Canis lupus familiaris: one gene and its partner. The protein of the gene in region 1 purifies or fractionates together with the protein of each later gene. This does not show direct contact. Links are inferred from orthologs where the notes say so. Each region holds a gene or a part of one and is shown on either strand. Other genes may lie near its edges. The genes, in order: SBF2 and MTMR1.

Evidence for each region.
Region 2: the proteins of SBF2 (region 1) and MTMR1 purify together in Homo sapiens (affinity purification with mass spectrometry; 3 studies listed by BioGRID and IntAct, with this or other methods). This does not show direct contact. The link is inferred for Canis lupus familiaris from reciprocal best matches to the Homo sapiens genes SBF2 and MTMR1.

Annotation. Positions count from the first base shown.
Region 1 is NC_049242.1:33,629,451-33,640,457, forward strand, and holds part of SBF2 (myotubularin-related protein 13), read right to left. Parts: intron 9,980-11,007; coding exon 9,803-9,979; intron 7,708-9,802; coding exon 7,606-7,707; intron 6,916-7,605; coding exon 6,730-6,915; intron 1-6,729. UniProt on the Homo sapiens protein: Guanine nucleotide exchange factor (GEF) which activates RAB21 and possibly RAB28. Promotes the exchange of GDP to GTP, converting inactive GDP-bound Rab proteins into their active GTP-bound form.
Region 2 is NC_049260.1:120,300,031-120,310,260, reverse strand, and holds the end of MTMR1 (myotubularin-related protein 1), read right to left. Parts: coding exon 10,202-10,230; intron 5,180-10,201; coding exon 5,018-5,179; 3' UTR 4,313-5,017; downstream 1-4,312. Other genes in the region: CD99L2 (CD99 antigen-like protein 2), read left to right, coding at 63-80, 832-897, 1,741-1,805. UniProt on the Homo sapiens protein: Lipid phosphatase that specifically dephosphorylates the D-3 position of phosphatidylinositol 3-phosphate, generating phosphatidylinositol. Could also dephosphorylate phosphatidylinositol 3,5-bisphosphate to produce phosphatidylinositol 5-phosphate.

The DNA of each region.
Region 1 (11,007 bases):
AATTATTTTGATTGATTTTGAATGTGAAACCAACTGTGCATTCCTGGGATAAATGCCACTTGACCATGGTATATTATCTCTTAAATATATTGTTGGATTTGATTTGCTAAAATTTTGTTTAGAAAATTTGAATATTGATCAGAATAGATACTGGTCTATAGTGTTCTTTTGTTGTCTTTGTCAGGCCAAGGTAACGCTGGTCTCATAGCCTGAGGTGAGAAGTATTCCCTTTTTTTTTTTTTTTTTTTGAGAAGTATTCCCTTTGCTTCAATTTGCTGGAAGACTTTATATAGAACTGCTATTCTTTCTTCCTTAAATACTTGGTAGAATTAACCAGTGGAACCACCTGGGTCTGAAGTTTTCAGTGTGGAAAGATTTTAGCTACAATATCAATTTCCTTAATAGACATGGGCTTATTCAAATTATGTATTTCTTCCTGAGTGAGTGTGGTAGGTTGTGTCTTCCAAGGAATTTGTCCATGTCATCTAAATTGTTGATTTTATTGGTGCAAAACTTCATAATATTCTCTTACGGTCCTTTTAATATCTGTAGAATCTGTAGTGATGTCATCTTTCTCATTTCTAATACTGGTATTCTGTGTCTTTCTTTGACCAGTCTGGCTAGAAGTTTAACAATCTATTGATCTTTTCAAAGAACAGCATTTGGTTTCATTATTTTTCTGTGCTGTTGGCCATAAGATTTTTGGAACCTAAAGGCAAACCTGTTTCAAATAAACTTAGTCTTATTTTATTATGTAGAATTGGAAATGATAGGCATCTCCGTCTATAAATTAATTCTATAGGAGCTTTTCCCCAAATATGCTCATGAATAGAATTTTAGGCCTTTCTCAGGCATCATCTGGATTCTGTTGTCCAAAATAACTTTTTATTTATCTTGATGGAAGATAAAAATATACAGATTTAAAAGATGAAGCTATGTGAGGTATTTTAGTTTTGTTTTCCATTATGGATTGAAACCTGCCAATTTTCCTTATTTATAAGAAGAGAATCTGAAAAGGAATTTGGAGACACAGGAATTTATAGGGGTCTTATTTTTTGCCCATATGTCATTAAGTACTTTATAAAATTTAAAGGCCCATAAAATAAGCTATGACTCAAATCCCAGGAAAGATCAACATTTTGGGAATAAAATATAGTAAGTTAACATTGGATTTTGCTTTGGAGAATTAGAAATGTTAAGCTATAAGAGACCTTATATAGAATGGCATCAATATTGGAAAAACTGTGGGTATGGTAGACACACCCTAGAAAAATAAGTAATTAATGTTAGTTTTTGTTATTTCAAGATAAAGATTTAACAAACATTAACTGTGCAGTTTCTACTGTGCCAATCACTTTACATAAGATTTGTAATCCTTCTGATAGCTATCTATGTATTCATGTATCTATCTAGAAACCAAAGCACCTGAGAGGTTAAATAATTTGTTAAGGATCAAAAATTAGTAAGTTAAGACTGATATATAAATTCAGATTTATTTTATGGGCTCAAAATATTTAAACTCAGACTTATTTTATGGGTTCAAAATATTAAAGCCCTAATGCAAAATTGCTTTGTTATAAAACAGCTTGGATTACATCAATTTTTGCCAGTTTTCAAATGGATGGGAAGCAGGAAGACACCAGAAACTTTGAATATACCATTAATCCATTAACTGCAGTTATTTTGCCAATATTAATGGATACATTTTAGAGTAACCAAACTGTGTGAGGGCGGTGTGGCTCCTCACACATGTGCGCACAAGGAAAGTTCATATCTTCAAGAGACAAATAGCTTTTCTTATTAGAATAGGACCTAGCATAGTGCCGGCATATGTATGGTAACCGTGAGACCATATCACACAACCAGACCAGAGTGAGTCAATTTACAACTTGAATAAACTTCAAAAGCAAAGTTATAACTCTTATTTGTTTTTCTCAAAGTAGGAAATAATGAAAAAGTCCTAAGATACACTCAAAGATTTACTCTAATGTTGAAATAGAGGAGATGCTTTCCTATACTTCATGTTTTCATTCATATTATACATGTCTGTTCCCTTGGTATTATATTTTAAAAATAAATTTTAGGTAAAAATTGTATTTTTGTATTTTGGATATATTTCTTTTTGAATTTGGTTCAACTATTTTAAGAAAAGGAAGCATCCTGTAATGATATCACTTGAATTAAGCCAATTTCTTTTAGAAGCAACAAAAATTTGCCAGATGTTGCTATTATGAAACAGTGATCTAGCATTTATAATTCATCTGACACCTGGATATACTGGCGTAAACAATGGCTTTTTATATGATGAGGCAGTTCTAATTTAAGATCAGTACTTCATCTGTTTTCTTTGTAACCCTATTAGTACTAATGGACAAGTCTAGGCAAATTTCCATAGACTGCCTTTTGGCATTCAGCGTGTTAGAAATGGTTAACAAGCAGTGAACACATTCCACCTGGGAGTTTTGCTTATTGCTGTGTAATTTTGCACATTAAAAAAATTTTTTTTTAATGTTGGGCCTGGCTCTGTTTTGTGCCCCTGCGAAATTAAGGACAGTGGTAGTTCGAATTGTCTGGCAAAAGCTGGAGTCATGTAAAGCACTGGTGTTCACTTGAAAGGTATTCAAAGAAGGCGTTCTCTAATGCCTAAAACTAGTATGTAGAAGATGATGAAATACTACCTTATAATTAAGTCAGCAAGAGTCAGAAGCACTATTTGTTAACTAGTCTTCTATAGTCTTCTGTTTTTGAATGAATAAACAATCCCTTTTCAGCATGAAGTAATTTGCTTCACCAAAGCTGATACCTATCATAGCCAAGCATTCTTTAAATACTGCAATTAAGGTCATATGCTACTTTGCCATGACTTGCCTGCACTCAGGTTGTTATATGAAAGGGTACTAAGGCAAAAGAGGTTCAGAAAACTTTTGAAAATTCATATTTTAGTTTGAAAAATTTTAACATTGGGGCACCTGAGTGGCTCTGTCAGTTTGGTGTCCAACTCTTGATTTCAGGGTCATGATCTTGGGGTTATGAGATTTGAGTCCTGTGTCAGGCTCCGTGCTCAATGGTTAGTCTACCTCTCTCTCTCCCGCTGCCCCTCTTCCCATTCACACACACACACTCTCTCTCTGAAATAAATAAATCTTAAAAAAAAAATCTATAAAAAATTTTAATGTGGTATAATCAGATCTGAATTAATGCTAAAGGAGTCTTTAGGCTCCAAACAATATTATTTTCTACAGTTTCTGAGGCATTCACCTACAAATAACTGAGCTGTCACTAAAGCTCAATTTATATAGGGCATTTGAATTTTAACTCATTATTTGTTTATTTATTTTAATTTAAATTTTTTTTAGATTTTATTTATTTATTCTTAGAGACACACACACAGAGGCAGAGACACAGGCAGAGGGAGAAGCAGGCTCCATGCAGGGAGCCTGACTTGGGACTTGATCCCGGGTCTCCGGGATCATGCCCTGGACTGAAGGCAGCACTAAACTGCTGAGCCACACCAGCAGCCCTTAACTCATTATTCAAAATAAAAAGTTACTAGAAATTAAACATACACCCTAAGATATTTTAGATAACACTACATTGTTTTAGCTTCTATTGTAATGTATTCTAAAGACAACAGGAATTTATACTTTCATTTATATTAAGATTTATTTATATCATTTAAGGGGTACTCACAAAATACAGGTTACTTTCCAATTCTAGACTACTTACACTTCTACCCACCCCTAATAATAAAATATAAGTATTATATTTCAAGTAATTATTATTACGCTTGGGGTGGAATGATGTCATTTTCGAGGACAGTATGTCTTCTGTGAGACCCTCCCATCTCTTACTGATTGTGAGTGGACTCTTTTGCTGACTCTCATGTTTAGGTATGCAGAATTTTGCAAGTTTAGCATGGATATTTAACATATTTAATAACGCATTTAACTTAAACCAAATCCAGCCATACAAACTTAGCTGCCCTCCAACTCTCCCTTAATTAAAGGAAAGGATTTTTTATAAGGTAGAATAACCTAAAATGAGGTGGGGAGAATGGAAAGGGAAACAGTAGCAGGTCAAGAAAATTCAGTACATTTATGAACAATGGAAAATAGAATATAAGAATAGCAATAAATGATAGAAGATGAGAAGCTACATTGGAATGCTTGTAGGATGAAAATGATTTGAGAAGGTGACAGCTTGCCCTGTCTCAGAAAGGCTCAGGACTCAGAGGCCCAATAACTCAGTAACATATACAGAGGTGAAATGGGAGCCAAAAATGAGGACTAGGTTAAGTCTATAGAGGAAGTGGTGAGATCTCCAGGGTCCTCTCCTACCCCATGCAGTCATGTGATTACCTTCTTGAAAGCAAGGGATTAGAAATTTGTCCTCTGGAAAAACCAAACTAGATGAGCTCTGGACTTGGGAACAGTAGGCACAACTGGGTTCATGAGGAGGCTTGAAACTGAAAATAGCATAGAAAAAGAAGGATCTCCCTGGACCTATTTCCTGCCCTATTTCTAAAAAGCAGGCAGCCAGCTTATAAGTATTCTCTGGGCACCAGACTGACAAATTTTTCTCTGGAAAAACTAGAGAGCTGTTTTTTTTTTTTTTTTTTTTTTTTCTGGAACTCCAGTTAACTGAGATGTTGGACTTACTAATTAAAATTTTGTTTTTCTGGGGGATCCCTGGGTGGCTCAGCAGTTTAACGCCTGCCTTTGGCCCAGGACTCAATCCTGGAGTCCCAGGATCAAGTTTCACATCAGGCTCCCAGCATGGAGCCTGCTTCTCCCTCCTCCTGTGTCTCTGCCTCTCTCTCTCTATGTCTATCATAAATAAATAAATAAATCTTAAAAAAATTTTTTTTTTGTTTTTCAGGTTCATTGATATATAATTTACATATAATAAAATCCTCCTATTTACACCATACAGGTTAGTTTTGGTCATTGTATACATTGTGTGATCACCAGCACAATTAGTATAGTTCCCTTATCCTAAAACGTTTGCTCACGCCCCTTCATGGTCCCTGACCACTGGTCCCAAATGACCACTGATATGTTTCTGTCACAATAGTTTTGCCTTTTGTAGAATTTTCTATAAATGAAATCATATATAGTATGTAGTTGCTTATACCTGCCTCCCCATACCTCTGCCAGTTTTACCAAGAAATACTTGACATATGTCATTGTATAAGTTTAAGGTAGACAGCTTAGTGCATTTGGTAAGCAATGTAAGGCAATAAGCAAGATAATAAGAAGTGCTTTCATGAAGAATTCGTATGGTTCATCTATCTAGATGTGAGAAAAAGATCCTTGTGCCTCTCCTTTGGTATCAGTTAAGCTTTCTGTTTCAGAGACAATGGGCTCCAAATGCCTCCCTCATCTATCTGCCAAAAGAAGTACAAAATAAAAAGGCTCATATTCAAATAGTAAACAAATATACCTTTTGCTGCAAAGATTTAAAACATAAGCTCAATCCTACAGCCAGCTTCTCTGGATGATGTTCGGACAGAATTAACTAAAATTATTCAATAGATCTTTTCTTAAGAAGCTGATTAGAGCAGTCAAAAACAACCACCAGAATGTGTGTATATGGGGGATGGGGTCGGGGGTCGGAGATGGAAAGTCACTGCTAATGGGTATAGAGTTTCTTTTTTCTTTTTTTTTTTTTTGAGTTTCTTTTTTGGAGTGGTAAAATGTTCTAAAATTGATTGTGGCAATTATACAACTTTGTGAATATACTAAAACTATTGAATTATATACACTTTAAATAAATGAAAAATTATGTAGTGAATTAATAAAGTTGATCAAATGATAAATAGAATAAAAAAAAACCAAACCAAAACAAAACCTCTTTAGAAGACCTAGTTTTAGTACTGGTTCCTGAAAACATTTCCATCTTTCCTTCCAATAGATACCCGAGGACAATCTATTTCCAAGAGGCTCATGGTTCTGACAAATATGTCTGACATGCCAAAACACATTCATTGTTATGGTACAGATGAAGTAAAGTTGGAGATGTCAACACTGCTTTTCCTAGGCCAATTTAGCAAACCCGGTGCCATGTAATTCTCAAGCCCAATTCTGATTCAGGCCCCATTAGGAAGTTTGTAACTGATGAGGCTTGAGGGAGCCTGTAGAGCATTCACATCTTCCCCATTCCCCTGCTCCCACTGGGTATGACTGGATTATATACCTGGGTTTCTGTCTGGTCTCTGATTAGCCCTGATTAAGTCACTGAGTAGAATCGAGCCAGTGTTCTCAACCTCACAGGCTTGCCTGATTGGGCCCTGATTCTTTCTCAGGGGTTAAGCTCCACCTTCCATATTCCTAGGCACAAGCTAACATCCTCCAGAATGGGGATGAGCACCTGCTGGATTTCAGGCCCTGTCATCACTTAGAGATTTTTGCTGTTTTATCATAGATCAAACCTTCCTGAACGACAAACCCAAGTTTACTCCTCTTCTTGGGAGATGATAAGTTAGAGTGCTGGCTACTTCACATGGGGGCCAGCCAGTAGCTAACTCAGCTATCCTAGATTCAGAAACCAACTAGTTTTTTTTTTCCTTCTCTATTCCCAGGAATCCACTGCTAAGATTTCAGCAAGCCTTATGGCTGAGTCCATCAGAATCATGACATGAAGATACCTGGCACAGCACTGCTATGCTCAATAAATGTTAGTTCTTTTCTTTCTTTCATATCAAGTCAATTTAAAGTCTGCTCTACTTACCTGGTGTACACAGTCTAAGAACTGCAGGAAGACTGGAGTAAAACCACTACCCTGACAATTGAGGGTCAAGCTGCTCCGCTGATTGAATTTATGACCAAAAGAGAGCCATTCTTTTTCCACCAACATCCGAAAGCCTTCAAGTGTCCTATAAAAGGGATCACTGAGTAACTGAACCAGGGATGTCACCTAGGACACAAGCAGGATGGATACATTACTTTCGGTCCTGAAAAAATTTTGTTACTAAGACAGGCAAAGTTACCATAACAGCAAATTTGTTCACTAGCTGCTCCAGGACAGCCAATCAAATTAATTCTGCAAACTTCCAGTAAAAACTAAAACTCAAACTCATTTTGGCTACATGTTTTCTTTCAGGGAATTATGATTTTAATCTTTACCTAACCAGTTTGCTGACTATAGTCCCCTCCTGCAGGTTAATTAATAAGGCTAGAGGATCAGTTCCAACCTATTATCTACTTTTTGGCAGATACAGATTAATGTCTTACATAGTTTATATTTATACCCTTTTTTTACTCTACAGTGGATAAAGGAGGAGCTTATTGAAAGCCAGGGAAAGGACTGACAAAACCCAGGAAGGATGGTCCATGTCCTACCCTCTGATCAACGGCTCCATTTGTATGCTTGCATGGTGTATCTGTCATGAGGGAGCCAGATGCCCTGGACCAGAGCTCCAGGATATGTAGTGCCTGGAAGCTCAGGGCACAAAACTTTCTGATGGATTTGGTGGTTTTTAACATAGGACTTTGTCCATAAACACATTAGTCATTATACAAAAGATTCATCTGCAGGATTTAAAAACAACTGAATTTAAATATAAATCTAAAACTAAGTATCTGAAACTATGTTTTAATCATTTACTTGTGCAGTGATGTCCCAGCCTTCCTCCAAACAGACCAAAACTGAGGAACCATTCTCAAGTACTTCTGATACAACCACAGCCAGCTGCATTATCCTGTGAAGCTAAGAGATAGGAAAGGAGGCCACAATTAGACCAGGCACTTTCTGAACACCAAGAACAGACAGACTCATTATCAACCTCAGATAATGAAACAAGTTAGGGATGAAGTATTTGGACAAAAGAATCATATAAGTTTTAAATGCTTAAAACTTTGTCAAAGTTTCTGATGGATTTGGTGGTTCTTTGTCAAAATCAAGATGAAACAATGACATAATTTAGAAGTAGACACATTTTAAAACAACATGTTCAAATGATAGACAATGAAATAAACTGACCCTACATGATCTCCCCAAAGTAGAAGAGCTATGTAACCCCATAGAGTGGAAAAGTCAGATTCTAAGTGGCCCTACCAACACAGTTATTGGATTTAAAATTTGTTTTTCTATGATATAATCGGTTCTATTTCAGATACTTTTAATTTTTCTGTAATTAGATAGGAGGATGGAGGCAGAACTCTGTGAATATACTAAAAAGCACTGAATTGTACACTTTAAAGGGCTGAATTTTTGACAAATAAATTTTATATTTTAAAAAAGACATTCTTATTTGTCTGCACTATATATTAAATGGAAAGAAAATTTATATTTGTGTTCAGCTTTTGAAGCCAACCCAAAAGACTCAAAGTCCCTAATGAACAACTAGGTTGTGAGCAGAGCATATAGATTCAAAACCAATTGTATATTATAGTTTAAAACTATTATAAGCATCTTTTGATATAAATTGTAGAATGAATCTGTCAACTAACATAAAACAAAATAAAATCCCCCATACTTTAAAGAGATCTGGGCTATTTTATACCTAGGAGCAAGGCACATGTCCTCTCCAGCAATGGGAAACTCCTTACTCCCTGTTCCTATAACATAGATATTACCAGGCCTGTATTCTCTTGGGCTTAGCATTTGCTCTGAGTTAACTTTTAAAATGCCAATATTCCAAGTGGGGCAATATTTTCCACTGACTTTAGTTACCAACTTCTGGTAAGGATCTATTTTGGAGTAAGAAGTAGGACACAGAATGTATCAGAAACACAGATAGTTTGGGGTTGGGGCTCATAGCTTTGGGATAGAAGGGAGTCTTGATCAGCTCCTTCCATGGGTATTCAAAAGTATCCTGAACTGCTATAATAGTCATCAACATACCCTGATCCAGATTTATAGCTAATTTTTTTTTTTTAAAGAGTTTAAGTATCTTGAGAATAGTCACTGCCTTAGGTACTCCCAATCATTTCCTGGTTTATGGAAAACAACTCTTTTTCCTCCTTAAGAGAGGCAGGAGGCTTGGAGACAGATAGGAACAGGAGATTAGAGGGGTTGGGAACTCCTACAGGGGGCAAAGGAATAATGGGCATAGCATCAGTGGCCTGAAGACAAGGCTGAAGGGTATACCGCGGAGATGCTCTTGGTTAAATGTCTGCATCAGTGTCTAAAACATGCATGTCATAAATACCTTTCTTCTGTGGTTTGGAAGAAATGTGGGTTATGTGTGCTGGAATACCTATTTCTCCTTAATTTCTTAATAAGAGTTTAATTAAAAACATCCCAAGCTTGACTGAGCTGACGAAAGGATATGCAGTTTTTCCTAAACCTTAGGTAAGTTTTAGGGTATCCAAAATGATTTTGGTGGCTGGTCTGAGGGTGATTCTAAAATCTAGACACATGGAAAAGGCAGAGACACATGGAAGGTAAGAAAGTAACAGGGAAAGGCTCTTGGAGTCATCAGATATCACATTCTGTCCTGGATCCTCACTCTGCTGATAACAGAGCAGGAGTCCTATAAATATTTTTCAATGATTAAATTTACTGCATATCAGAAAGTTTCCATCGAACAATAAAGATGTCCTCCTCCTCAGCAACCCATGAAGACCAAATTTTCAATTATAGAGAGATGAAAGCCCAGGGATGAAGAATTCTACCCCCTGCCATCTTCTATATCATATGGTTCCCTGAAACTGGAAAGTCTTTATGGAGGGCATACAGTAAGGGGAGAATGTCAGGTAGTGAGGGCACACAATATTTTTTCCTCCTCAAGTATCCATTCTGTTTATCTACTTGGACTTCTCTTTCTCTGAGTTATAGGACAAGCTGCTCCAGACATTACCTGTGGGAACCACTCAGAGTCTCCCAGGGCTTTCAGGAAGGTCACTTCTGAGTCAGTAGGAATGGTGCTTGGAACACAAGCCCTCATCAGTTTTTTGAAACTGGCTTTAACTTGTCGGATGTCATAAAATTCAACAGGAACAAACTCACAATTTAAAGCAAATTCTAACTTGAAGTTCTGTGGGTGAAGATGCAGAGAATTAGGCAGATGCAGTGCTATAGGTAAAAGAGCACTGTTTTTAACAGGGCAATACTTAATGATGCACAGTTAGTTGAGGCCAAGTAGCTACAGAGGTTGCAGAGGTCAGGAAAGTCAATCTTGTGTGGCTAATGTGTCAGTATTACTGGAAAGAGCCATTCAGTAAGGTCTTGTGGTTTGACTTGGCTTGCTGTCATTCTGAGAATTTGGAGAGGCTACTGGTAGGCTGGAACCTGATGGAATTCATAATACCATATATAAGCCAGTTATAAGGCCATGACCCTTGAAGCCTAAAGAGGAACCAATGACACGTGGACAGCATAATTAATCCAAAACTGTAAATTAAGTTTCCCCAAGATATACCCTGTAATGAAAAGGTAATATACTGTTGAGGTTCCAGAACTCTACAAATAAAAGTTTGTAGATATAGACATATAGACATATCTGTTTCTTATTATGCAAGTAAAACACAGTCATTGTAAAATGAAAAAAAAGTAGAGATTAACATTGAGAAGGAAATAAAAATCACTACCTCACTGCCCTAAGATTACTAATGTTACTGTTACTCTTTTAAAGCTAATAATACAAAATTTTATATATAGTAAATTCTGAAAGATTTTGTGATTTCTAGCACTGGGATAGTATTTTTTCCATTCAGTATGACACATGTATCAGTCTCTATTTATTTGAATACTTTTATAATTTACATCTTTAATCCATATGAAATTTATTCCACATGAGGTTGTATTTATAATTTAAAAATACTAAACTGATGGCCCTTTGGTCTATTTTGTTTTGATAATATAGTTGCCTAGTTCTCAAGATTGATTGATTGATTGATGATTTTATTTATTCATGTGAGAGAGAGAGAGAGAGAGGAGAGAGAGAAAGAGAGAGACAGGCAGAGAGACAGGCAGGGACACAGGCAGAGGGAGAAGCAGGCTCCATGCAGGGAGCCCGATGTGGGACTCGATCCCGGGTCTCCAGGATCACGCCATGGGCTGAAG
Region 2 (10,230 bases), on another chromosome or scaffold:
GCAGTGCAGGTGGCGGAAAGCCCCCGGGCTCTGTCGTCCTAAGCTTTGTGTCTTGCCTTCAGATGCAGCAGAAGGTCAAGGTAATGCCGCGCTTCGACTACTCCTGTCCCTCTCCCGCTCGGCCGGTCCCCGGGCCCCGCCCCGCCGCCCTCGCTCCTGCCCCCACTGCCCGCCCCACCCCTCCCTGCCCCTCACCCACCGGGCTGTGGCCACACCACCTGCGGCTCGGCCGCTGTCCCTGCAGGGAGGCCGGGGCCAGGGGTCCCGTCTGGGGGTCGGCGCCAGGGGCTCCCGGTCCTCAGGTTCCCCAGGGCTGTCGCACTGACTGCTGAGTGTCCCCGTGTAAGGCGGGCTCCAGTCGCAGTCGCGCCCCCCCGTGAGCTGAGAGCCCGGGTGTCTTCGATGCCCCTGGCAGGGCGGTGGGGATGGAGCCCCTGAACCTGAGTGGAGTGGCTCTGGGGGGGCCAGGCCCGCCCCCCCGGGTGCTCACGGCCCTCCGCCCTGCTGGCTGGAGGAGCCACGTGGCCCGAAGGTGGGGACGTTGCAGGGAAGGCCGGACGCTGGCAGGACGCTGGTGGCCCCTCTGCAGCGGACCCCGTGCACCCCCTCCCCGCATGTGCCCCCCCTCCTGTGGCGCTTGGCTCCCTCTGCCCCTCCGGGCCCCCGGGCTGGCCCCGCCACCTGGCCCCGGGGCTCCCACAGCTGGCACCTGCCCTGCGGGGATGCGGGTCAGAGGCCCTTGCTACGTCCCTCCCGAGGACAATGTGGGGACCCCCCCCCCCCCCCCCCCGCGCCGGGTCAGCCGCTGACTCTGCTCCTCGCCCCCTGCAGAGGGTCTGAACGCCGACTACGTGAAAGGAGAGAACCTGGAAGCCGTTGTGTGCGAGGAGCCCCAAGGTGAGCCCTTCCCGGCGGCACGGGGTGCGAGTCGGGGGGGTGGCCCCGAAGCCTTCCCCGCGGGGCAGTTCAGCCAGAACTGGGCGTGACTGCAGGGACGAGCCGTTCCACTTCCTGACACCAGGGACGCTGGGGCCACAGCCAGGGCTGCCTGCGGAGTCAGGGACTCGTGCACTGGGGACTCTGGTCCTGGCGGGGGGAGCCGCTGGGCCCAGGCCAACGGAGCTGTCATGGGGGGCGGGGGGCAGCCTTTATTTTTTATTTTTTCTTCTTATTTTCTTTTTATTGGAGTTCAATTTGCCAGCATACAGCATAACACCCAGTGCTCATCCCGCCAAGTGCCCCCCTCAGTGCCCGTCACCCAGTCACCCCCACCCCTGCTCACCTCCCTTTTGGGGGCAGCCTTTAAAAGACACCTGGACTTTTCCTTCTGAAGACTGGGGGCGCTGCAGGGCCTCGGCTGACCCCGGAGCCCGTGTCCCCCGCACCCCGTGGTCGAGCGCTGAGAGTGGGAGCCATCGACGGATGGACGGGAGGTGTAAGGTCAAGCCGGGGCGGGGGGCTGTCACGGGAGCCAACGGCAGCCGCGGGGACGGCCCTTCACTTAGGACGGGGACCGCGGTGTGTGCCGGTCCTGCACCATCGGGCTCCGTGGCCCCCGGAGGAGAGCCAAGAACAGCCCCTCGGGGCCACTGGCTACCTAGTTCTGCGGCCCCCCAGCCGCGGCGACCAGGGCGTCCCCACTGGCCACAGGCCCCAGTGTCCCACCGAGGGCCTGTATTTGCCCCTTCGGCGCCCTGGGGGGACCGTGTCCCCCTCCTAATTCCTGTCTTCTCTCCCCAGTGAAATACCTGACGCTACAGACGCAGACTGCGGAGCCGCCACCCCCCGAGGCGCCCCGGATCTGAGGCCTACGTCGCCCTGGTGACCAGCTCCTTCGTTCCCGTGGACCCACCACCACCACCGTCCGCTTCTCTGATGACGCCATCGGCTTCTGATTCTAAGTTTTCCAGACGAACTCGGGGTGTGTGTGAGGCTGGTTTCTGAGCCTGCCCTGCCATGGACGCTCGGGGACGCCGGGCACTGGGGACACCGGGAGGACGGGGGGCAGGAAGACGCTGGTGCTCAGGGGTAAGAGCCGGAGCCCAGGGTAGCGCAACCCTGGCACGCTGCAGTGACGCCCCATGTCCCTGGCAGCGGCCTCGGGCTGCTGTCGCTGGGGACCCAGCTCACACCTGGGTTGCTGGGAGGCCCTGAGGCCCTGCCAGGAGCACAGCAGGGGGATCAGACAACCACCCACCCTCCCCCCCGACACACCACACACACTCTCCGCCTTTCTCCCTCTCCCTCTGTCACTCGCTCTCACATACGCACATGCGTGTGCGTGCACACACACCACCCAGCTCTTACACCCCTGGGCTTCCAGAGAGCTGGTCCAAGTGGTGGCTTTTCATTTATTTGAGTGCAAACATGCATGTTGTGATAGTCCTGCCCCGAGGTCTTAGGAACCTTCTGGACGAGTAGGCAGCTGTGACTCTTGGGCCTGATCCCCCTCTGGTTCCGTAGGCAGCCGCCGTGATTAGTGTTTAGGAATCATTGATGCATTGAAACGAGTATTCCCCGTGTACCCCGTGTACCCCGTGTACGCGCTTTGTTCGGTAGCAAAAGCTAGACGCTGGGCATGAGCAGCAAAGCCAGAAGCACGCGTGGGTTTTGCTTAAAATTGTAGTTGAGGGGGGAGGGGCCGCCCGCTGGGATTAGTGGCACTGGCCTGGCTCTTGGGTCTGGAATGATGGTTGTGTGTGTCCTGTTGGCCGGGGGCCCTCGGGCGCCGCGGGGCTGCAGGGAACGCCAGCACGCAGGGGCTGCCCGTTCACTTACTGGCGCAGTCTGGCCTGGGGCTAGCCTCCTGGAACGTTCCATGTGGCCCACGTGGGGTCCTGTCTGGGGGAGCCCTGCTGTCCGAGGCTGAGCTGAGGTCTCGAGCCACCATGTACTGGCATTGGGCTTGCAGCGTCCAGTAGCACCCCCGGAGGCCGGCAGGCAGGGGGGCCCTGTGGCCAGGGCTCCTGGCGCCCCCTTGTGCTGCACCGTCCCGTCTGGCTTCCGAGGGAACGGTTGGGGTCAGAGGCGACCCCGCAGGTGGAGTGACACATGCCTCGCATGCTGGCGTTTGTTGGCAGCTGCTTTAGAGACCCCGCGGTGCGGGGACTGTCCCCTGCTGCGCGTCCCCAGGCCGTCCCTCGGATGCTGGCCGCCACCCCGGGGGGCCCTCCCCCCTGGAGGGCGGCCTCCGTTGTGAGTGTGCAGGTGTGGAGCACCGAGGAGACCCCTCTGCGTGGGGGTGGGGGTGTCCCTGCCCAGGATGGGGGGGGGCTCGGGCGGTGGGGGAGGCCTCTCGTGTCCGTGGCCTCTGGCCACCCCGTGGGGGGGACCCGGGAGCAGGAGGGGGGGCTTGAGGCGTTTCACAGGTAGAAAACGGAGGCAGCACCGCTGGGCGGCAAGTTCCTTCCCTGCCCACCGCCGGGAAGGTAGGGGGCCCTGGTCCCCATGGCCCGTGTGTCGCGTGGTGTGACTGGGCCCAGCCTGGCGCTGGGAGCCCCGAGGAGGGGCCCCCCGCCCCCGCACCCCTGGACTGTGACGCGCTTGTGTTTCAGTGTGAGCTGTAAGCTGTCTCGCGTTTGCATTAAACGAACTGGAACCGACTGGCGCCTGTGCCCTGATGGCGGGAAGGGGGGGGCTTCTTTGGGAAGTGATGCTGGGTTCTCCCGGAGGCTGTGCCCCAGCCCCAGCCCCAGGTGTTCCCCCAGAAGCTCGGCGTTCTGGCCCTTGCCGGGGTGCCGATGGTGGGGCGGCAGGGCCCGTCCGGGCATGAGCGGACCTGGTGGCGGGCTCGCAGCCGGACCCCGGGGCCGAGTGGGAGGCGGCGGGCGTGGGGTCACCTGCGTGGGGTGGCGCTTCGGCGCCCTGCCGGCCGCTAGTGCAGCAGCACGAGCCCTCCCGCCCAGAGCCGCCCTGGGACTCCCCGGTATCCGCATGGGCAGCCGGGTGCCCGGAGGGGACAGGGGCGCGAGACCCGCGGGGGCTCCCCCAGAGGCCAGCATGCGAGCCGTGGACTCGGGGTGGGGGCCCCGGGGCTTGTCAGCGGTCTGCCCCCTTTGCAGCTCGGGGTCCCGGGGTCCCCGGGCCCGATCGCCCAGCCCTCCCCCACCAGCTTCGGGCAGACGGGCGATCCACGGCTACACGCGCCACATCCCCTTTGGGGCCGAGACGCGCGTGTGGGGTTCAGCGAAGGACTCGAGTCCTACCTCACACGCGTCACCTGGGCGTGGCACGGGAGACCACAGGTGTGGAAGGTGCTGTCATTTTTCCGAGGGAGGAATTGGGAAAACATTAAAAAAAAAAGTAGACGACCCCAGAGCAAACATATTATTTTAATTACAGATGGAAATACAGTGTATCAGATGAGGCGACTACGCGACTGTACCAGTCTTTACACACCTGCACCAGGGGCTTAGGTTCCATACGCTTTAAATAAACAGAAAGCAAGGGGGGTGCTCGGCTAACGGCACGAGGCTTCTAGCTGGGCCGGGTGGGGGCACCCGGGGGAAGGGGGCTCGCACGCGGACGGCCCAACAGACAGCCCGCACGAGGCGATGCGGCCCCGGGAGGAGGACCGCCACCGCCGCTGCCGGCGGGAGGACACCGTGCCAGGTCACTGGCCCTGTTCCTGTCGCGGGCAGACCACGTAAGTCGGCGCGAGCTGGGGGTGGAAAGAACCCGTCACCCGGTCCGGTTACGCACACACCTCCTCGGGTGACTAGTTTCCAACATAAAAAAGGACATAGGAAAATAAAGGCATGTTTCTCTTTTTAAAAAATACCTTCTATGTACATGACAGTAACTGGCGCAGGAGGGCCCCGGGCGGGAAGAGGACGGGACACTCGGGGGCCGTGGCGGGGCCAGGGCGGTGAGTGGGCACGACGGACACGGCCGACGAAACGGAAAGCGCTTGATGACGGCGGGAGCGGTCACCTTGCCACGCAGGCGGTCGCTGGTGGGCAGGATCACCCGGCCCGCGGCCTGCCCGAGGCCCCTCGGGGAGTGGCCCCAGAGCGCGTCACACGGACGTGTGGACGGGGGTGACCGGGTGGGACGGCGAGGAGCCCCGCTCGGAGGACGACGAGGCGCGTGTGGCCACCTCCCGCTGCAAGTCCTCCACCCGCTTCTGCAGCTCCGCCTTCACGGCCAGCAGCTCCTTGAGGTTCTGGTGAATGGGCATCTGGGGAGAGAGGGACACGGTGAGGTCCCCTGCAGCTCTGCCGACTGGCAGCACCGACACTGTTCCCACCCATCGCGAGAGGTGCAGGCGGCCACCCCGGTGATGACCCTGCTGGAGGAGGGCGCCTGGGGGGCCGAGCCCACCCCCCCCCCCGCAAGGCCTCCCCGGGAGCCTGAGGCCCGGAGGGGGCTGCCGTGGGCGTACGGGACTCCCGGCCTGAGGCTGGGTCACAGCATCACCCGTTCTCCCCCGGCCGGCCCAGGCAGCCAGCAGCCAGCTTGTCCCCCACGAGGCTCTCGGACCAGGGTGAGGTGCACCGGGGACGGGGGTCACCACCTGGGAGGCGCTCCTGGCCTTGTGTCCCTGATGCAGTGTGTGCACGGCAGCCGCAGGCCCGGGTCCTGAGCCTCAGCCAGGCTCCCTGGTGCCCAGCCAACAGCCTCCAGGGGCTGCTTTCTGCCGCCCCGACCTTGCCCTCAAAACCCTGGGCTCTGACCCCAGCCTGCCGCTCCTCACCGCTCCTCACCGCTCCCCCAGGGTCCTGCCTCTGCTCCCCTCCTGCATTCCAGAATCTTCTAGGTTTTGAGCCGTTCCATGCATGTGCAGCCCCCTGCCCCCGGGCTCTCCCATCAGGGCTGATCACCCCAGTCCAGGGAGGAGGGAGACGGGTAGGGAGGAGGCAGGCAGATGAAAGCGCAGGGTGCCAGGTCACTAGCGAGGAACCAAGTCCTGACATCAGGCCACAGCAAGAAGGGAAGGGACAACACTGAGGCTGAAGGGAAGGGACAACACTGAGGCTGATGCCAAAGACCCCCCCCAAACAAGGGGACGTTCCCTTATTTGCTGCTGATCCCCAAGGCCACCGCGAAGTAAGCAGTAGCTCCCCTCCTGGCCTTGCGGCCAATTTGGTGTTAATTCTCCTGTTGGGATCGTTTGGTTCCGAGGGAATCACACAAGGGAAACTTCTGGAGTCAGGTCCCGGACACGGGAAGTCCATGGAGGGAGCGCCCAGTGTCACACCCAGGACCTGAGGTGACCCTCAGGGATCTCCGAGCAGCCTTGCCTCAGGTCACTTCCAGTAAATCCAAGGCCCGCTCGGTAGAGAAGTGCCCAGTAGGGAGCCTCCCCCTGTGGGCGGTGGGTCTGCCCCGAGCCAAGAGGGCCCCGAAGGAAACGACGCAGCTCGGTCCCCCCTTCCACCCGGCCAACCCTCTGACGGAGGCCCAGGGAGGCGTGGTGCAGGCAGCCCACAAGCGCCCTCCTCGGACAGAAGGGGCCAAGCAGGCTGGTCCCCTGCCTTTCCTCCCTGTCCCGCCGGCCTGGCTCCCCATCCTGTCGCAGTGACGCCGGCCTAGGTGCCCACTCTGTGCCACCCCCCCACCCCCGTCTTTGAACATACTGCTGCTAATGAGCTGGCCCTGTGCACCGTGTGCCTGCCCAGCCTGCCCCCCACCGGCCTGCGGAGCCCCCAAGGCCCAGCCTGCTCCCCCCTCCCCCCTCCCTGCCAAGGCCCAGCCTGCTCCCCCCGCCCAGCCTGTTCCCCCCCCACGTCAAGGCCTGGCCTGCTCCCCCAAGCCCTCCCGCCGGCCTGGTTAGAACAAGAAGCGGCAGCCCGTGGGCCACCGGGCAGTTCTCCCGTCACGCTGGAGCCACAGCACTCCGTAGGCCTTCACATCACGCTCCGTTCCTGCTCCACGAGGTCTCGGCGAGGCCCGGGGACCTGGGCCCCAAGTGCGTGGAGCCACCGCCGGAGGGGATGGGACCCCGGCCCATGGGCACCCTGCAGGCCAGTGCACGGCAGCTCAGGGCCTGCCCTCGGTGCGGCCGATGGCTCCTGTAGCACGACAGTCCTGCCCGAGACCTTGATGGAGGCCAGTGCCGGCTGCGGCTCCCGCTGCCGTCACGGTGGCCATGGTCACGGAGTGCCGCAGACAGGACAGGTGGGAGGGCTTCAGGGCCAGGGCGGTGCTCTCGCGTTCACAGTCCCCAAGCATAGGGGGAAGCGCTCGAGCCCAGGGCTGCTCTTTGTCCCGCAGCAGGGCCTGTGCCAGCTTCCCTGCAAATGTTTCAGAAATCCCACCGTCTGTCCTCTGTGTCCCCCAGGATCCTATTTGGTGACTCTCTCCATGTGACCAAAATAAAGTGGGTTTCCTGCCCTCTGTCCCTGAGCCTGTCTTCTTGTTGCTACGACACACGACAGAACCGGGCAGGAAGGAACAGCGAGCCAAGGGCAGGAGCAGAACACAGGCAGAGGCCGGGAGGGAGCGGCGGACGCACACCTGACTTGTGTTCCTAAGTAAAAGGGACTCCAGTGACTGGAAGGAAGTGCCTAAGGGGTCCTGGGGGCTGGCATTCGAAGAGAAAGCAGCTGAGGTGAAAAAGGAGCATAGTTGTGGAAGCTGCCCTGTAAATCACTGGGCTTTCTGGGCCCGCACGCCCCTGCAAAGGCAGCTCTCTCTCACACGGCTCTCATTTTGTGGGCGATTCCATCTAACAAGCAGCAGTCGTCATGCCAGGGCCTACCCTTGCAGCGTATCCCCGTCGTCTGAGAGAGACAGAAGTTGTCACCACAGCTCAGAGGGGACGGCGGGGCCGGGGTGTGGAAGGCAGATGAGCTGCAGCCATCAGGTGGCCACGGGAGGCCGGCTCCGGGACCAGCGGGCCACTGTATGGCCACCCTCAGCTGCGCGACCGGGGAATGATGAGTCACGTGAGGTATGGGTCACTCGGAAGAGGGGAGAGGAAAGGATCTGGGGACCATGCTTGTGAAGAGGCTCTTTGGAGGCCACCGGCAACTGTTGTCTGACCCTGTGGCCTTCTGCAGAGATGCCGCAGAGCTAACGGGATGCGTGCTCATCGGCAGAACATCTGAAATTAGTTCCTAATGGCTCACTGGCCACACACTCAAAAACCAGTATTTCAGACATTAACCACTGACCACAGGACTTGGCCACATGTACATCGTCCTCATGGAGAAAAGAACAGACTGTCTCTCACTTCACATGTTCTCCGATAAAGAGAATGTCTTCCAGCTCTTACAGTTGGCACCGAGTCCACACTCCATCTGGTGGTTAGCACCGTGCTCTGGCCGTCTCGGGACCGAGGTCCCTCACGTCGCAGCACCCCTGCTGCTCCGTGCTCTCATGACATGGGAAGCTGCCACTGGCCCCTTCCGGCGGGCTGGAACCGTGCTAGTGCACCCGGACAGCGGGCGGGGGCTCAGTACAGCCAGTGGAGGGAAGTCTGCCTGCGGAAGGTCTCCTGAAGAAGGTTCTCAGAGCAGCGGCTGTTGGCCCAGTGAGAAGCAGACACCGGGGAAGCATTTCCAGAGGCGAGGGGTCGACAGGCAGCCCCCGGGATACAGGGCCCATCGGACCAGGAGGGAGAGAGGGGAACATGAGGCCTGGGTCTCATACCTGCCCCGAGAGGAAGACAAGTCCCAGGCTGGACTGTTCTGGAAAACAGTCCTGAGGGCTCTGAGGGTGGCAGAGCTGACCTAGAGGCTCTAGAGGGAGAAAGAGCCCTTGTGGCTAAATTTCATGGAAGAGAAAGCAGGATCAAAGAGTCAGGGGAGGAGAGGCCAGCGAGGAGCAGCTGGAGCTGTGCTGCTGGGAAAGGGAGTGGGTCAGAGAGGAGAGGCAGGAGCACAGCGACAGTGGGCATGGTCGCAGGGGTCCTGGGGTGACGTCTACAGGGACTGAATTTGCCATCAGGGAGGGAAGGCTAGTGAGGTGATGGTCCCTCCAAAGCTCAAGCACCAGGCAACAGCCAGGTGACATGAACGGCTGGGTCTCCCTCACGGTTAGTGGGGCCTGGGGATCGTCACGGGGTAACTGTCCACCCAAAATGCAGACACTGAAGTGCTGAGCCCCAGCACCACAGAGCGCACCTGGATGTGGAGACAGTTCCTCACACAGGTAGTTCGAGTTACGCTGAGGTCATCAGGGTGAGTCCTAGTGCAGTACAACCACTGTCCTCGTGGAGAAGGGGACACTGCACACAGGCTCGCACAGGGAAGGAAGACAACAAGAAGACACTGGAGAAGATGGCTGTCTGCAAGCCATGGGGTGGGGGGAGCCGGGAACAGACTCCTCCCTCAGCTCTCAGGGGGACCCGCCCCAGTCAACACCCTGATCTCAAGGCTTCTCATGTCAGGACCGTGAGCCCACACATTTCCACTGTGTTGCCCCCACCCCATCCATAGCCCTTGCTTACGGCAGCCCCAGCATCTGAGACATGAGACATGGCTGTGGAGACAGCAAGGACCCTGCGTGAGAACGGGGCTGGGGGGGAGCTGAGGGGGGAGCCAAAAGCAGAGGGGCAGGTGCCTGGGCCCAGCAGCAGCCCTGATGTCAAATGAGGCCCCAGAAGCCCACTCCTGGCACCCAAGCCAGTGAACCCAGAAGATGAAACTTCAAAAGACCCTTAGTTGAGAACCTTCTGTCCCTGGGGGCAGGGCCGCCCCTCCACGGGCCCCCTCCGCACTAAGCAGTGACCGTGCCCTCCCATGTGACAGTGTGCGGGGGGATGCACCTGCGGAACCGCAACCCCGAGCCGCAGCCTGAGCTTAGCCACCCAACGCCCAGGGCAGACACCGCCCGGCTGCAGGTCCTGCTGGCCACTGCTCGAGTATTGTTTTCAGTCTCAGAAAACATGACAATGAAAGAGTGTGGCGGGGAAGGGCGAGACTCTACCCCTTCTTCGAGGGGGCGTCTGTCTGCGACTCACCATGTGCCCTCTTTCTCCCGGAGCCTATAAACTAACCGAGTCATCGGAAATACTAAGAGTCAAGTGCAGTAACCGGTACGGCTGCTTCTATGTACCTGTAGCACAAGACAGAGGGGCTAAGATTTTAACTCTAAACTAGCCAAAAGAAGCTGCTAGAACATGAACACAAATGATTAAACCCTGAGAAGCAAGGGTGGGAGTAGAGGATGTTAATACTCAGCATGCACGCATTTCTATGCCACCACCTCCGCTTACAAAGATACGTATGCTCTTTTGCAAAGAACAAAAACATACCTGAGGCCTCATTCGCGGGTTCCATCGCA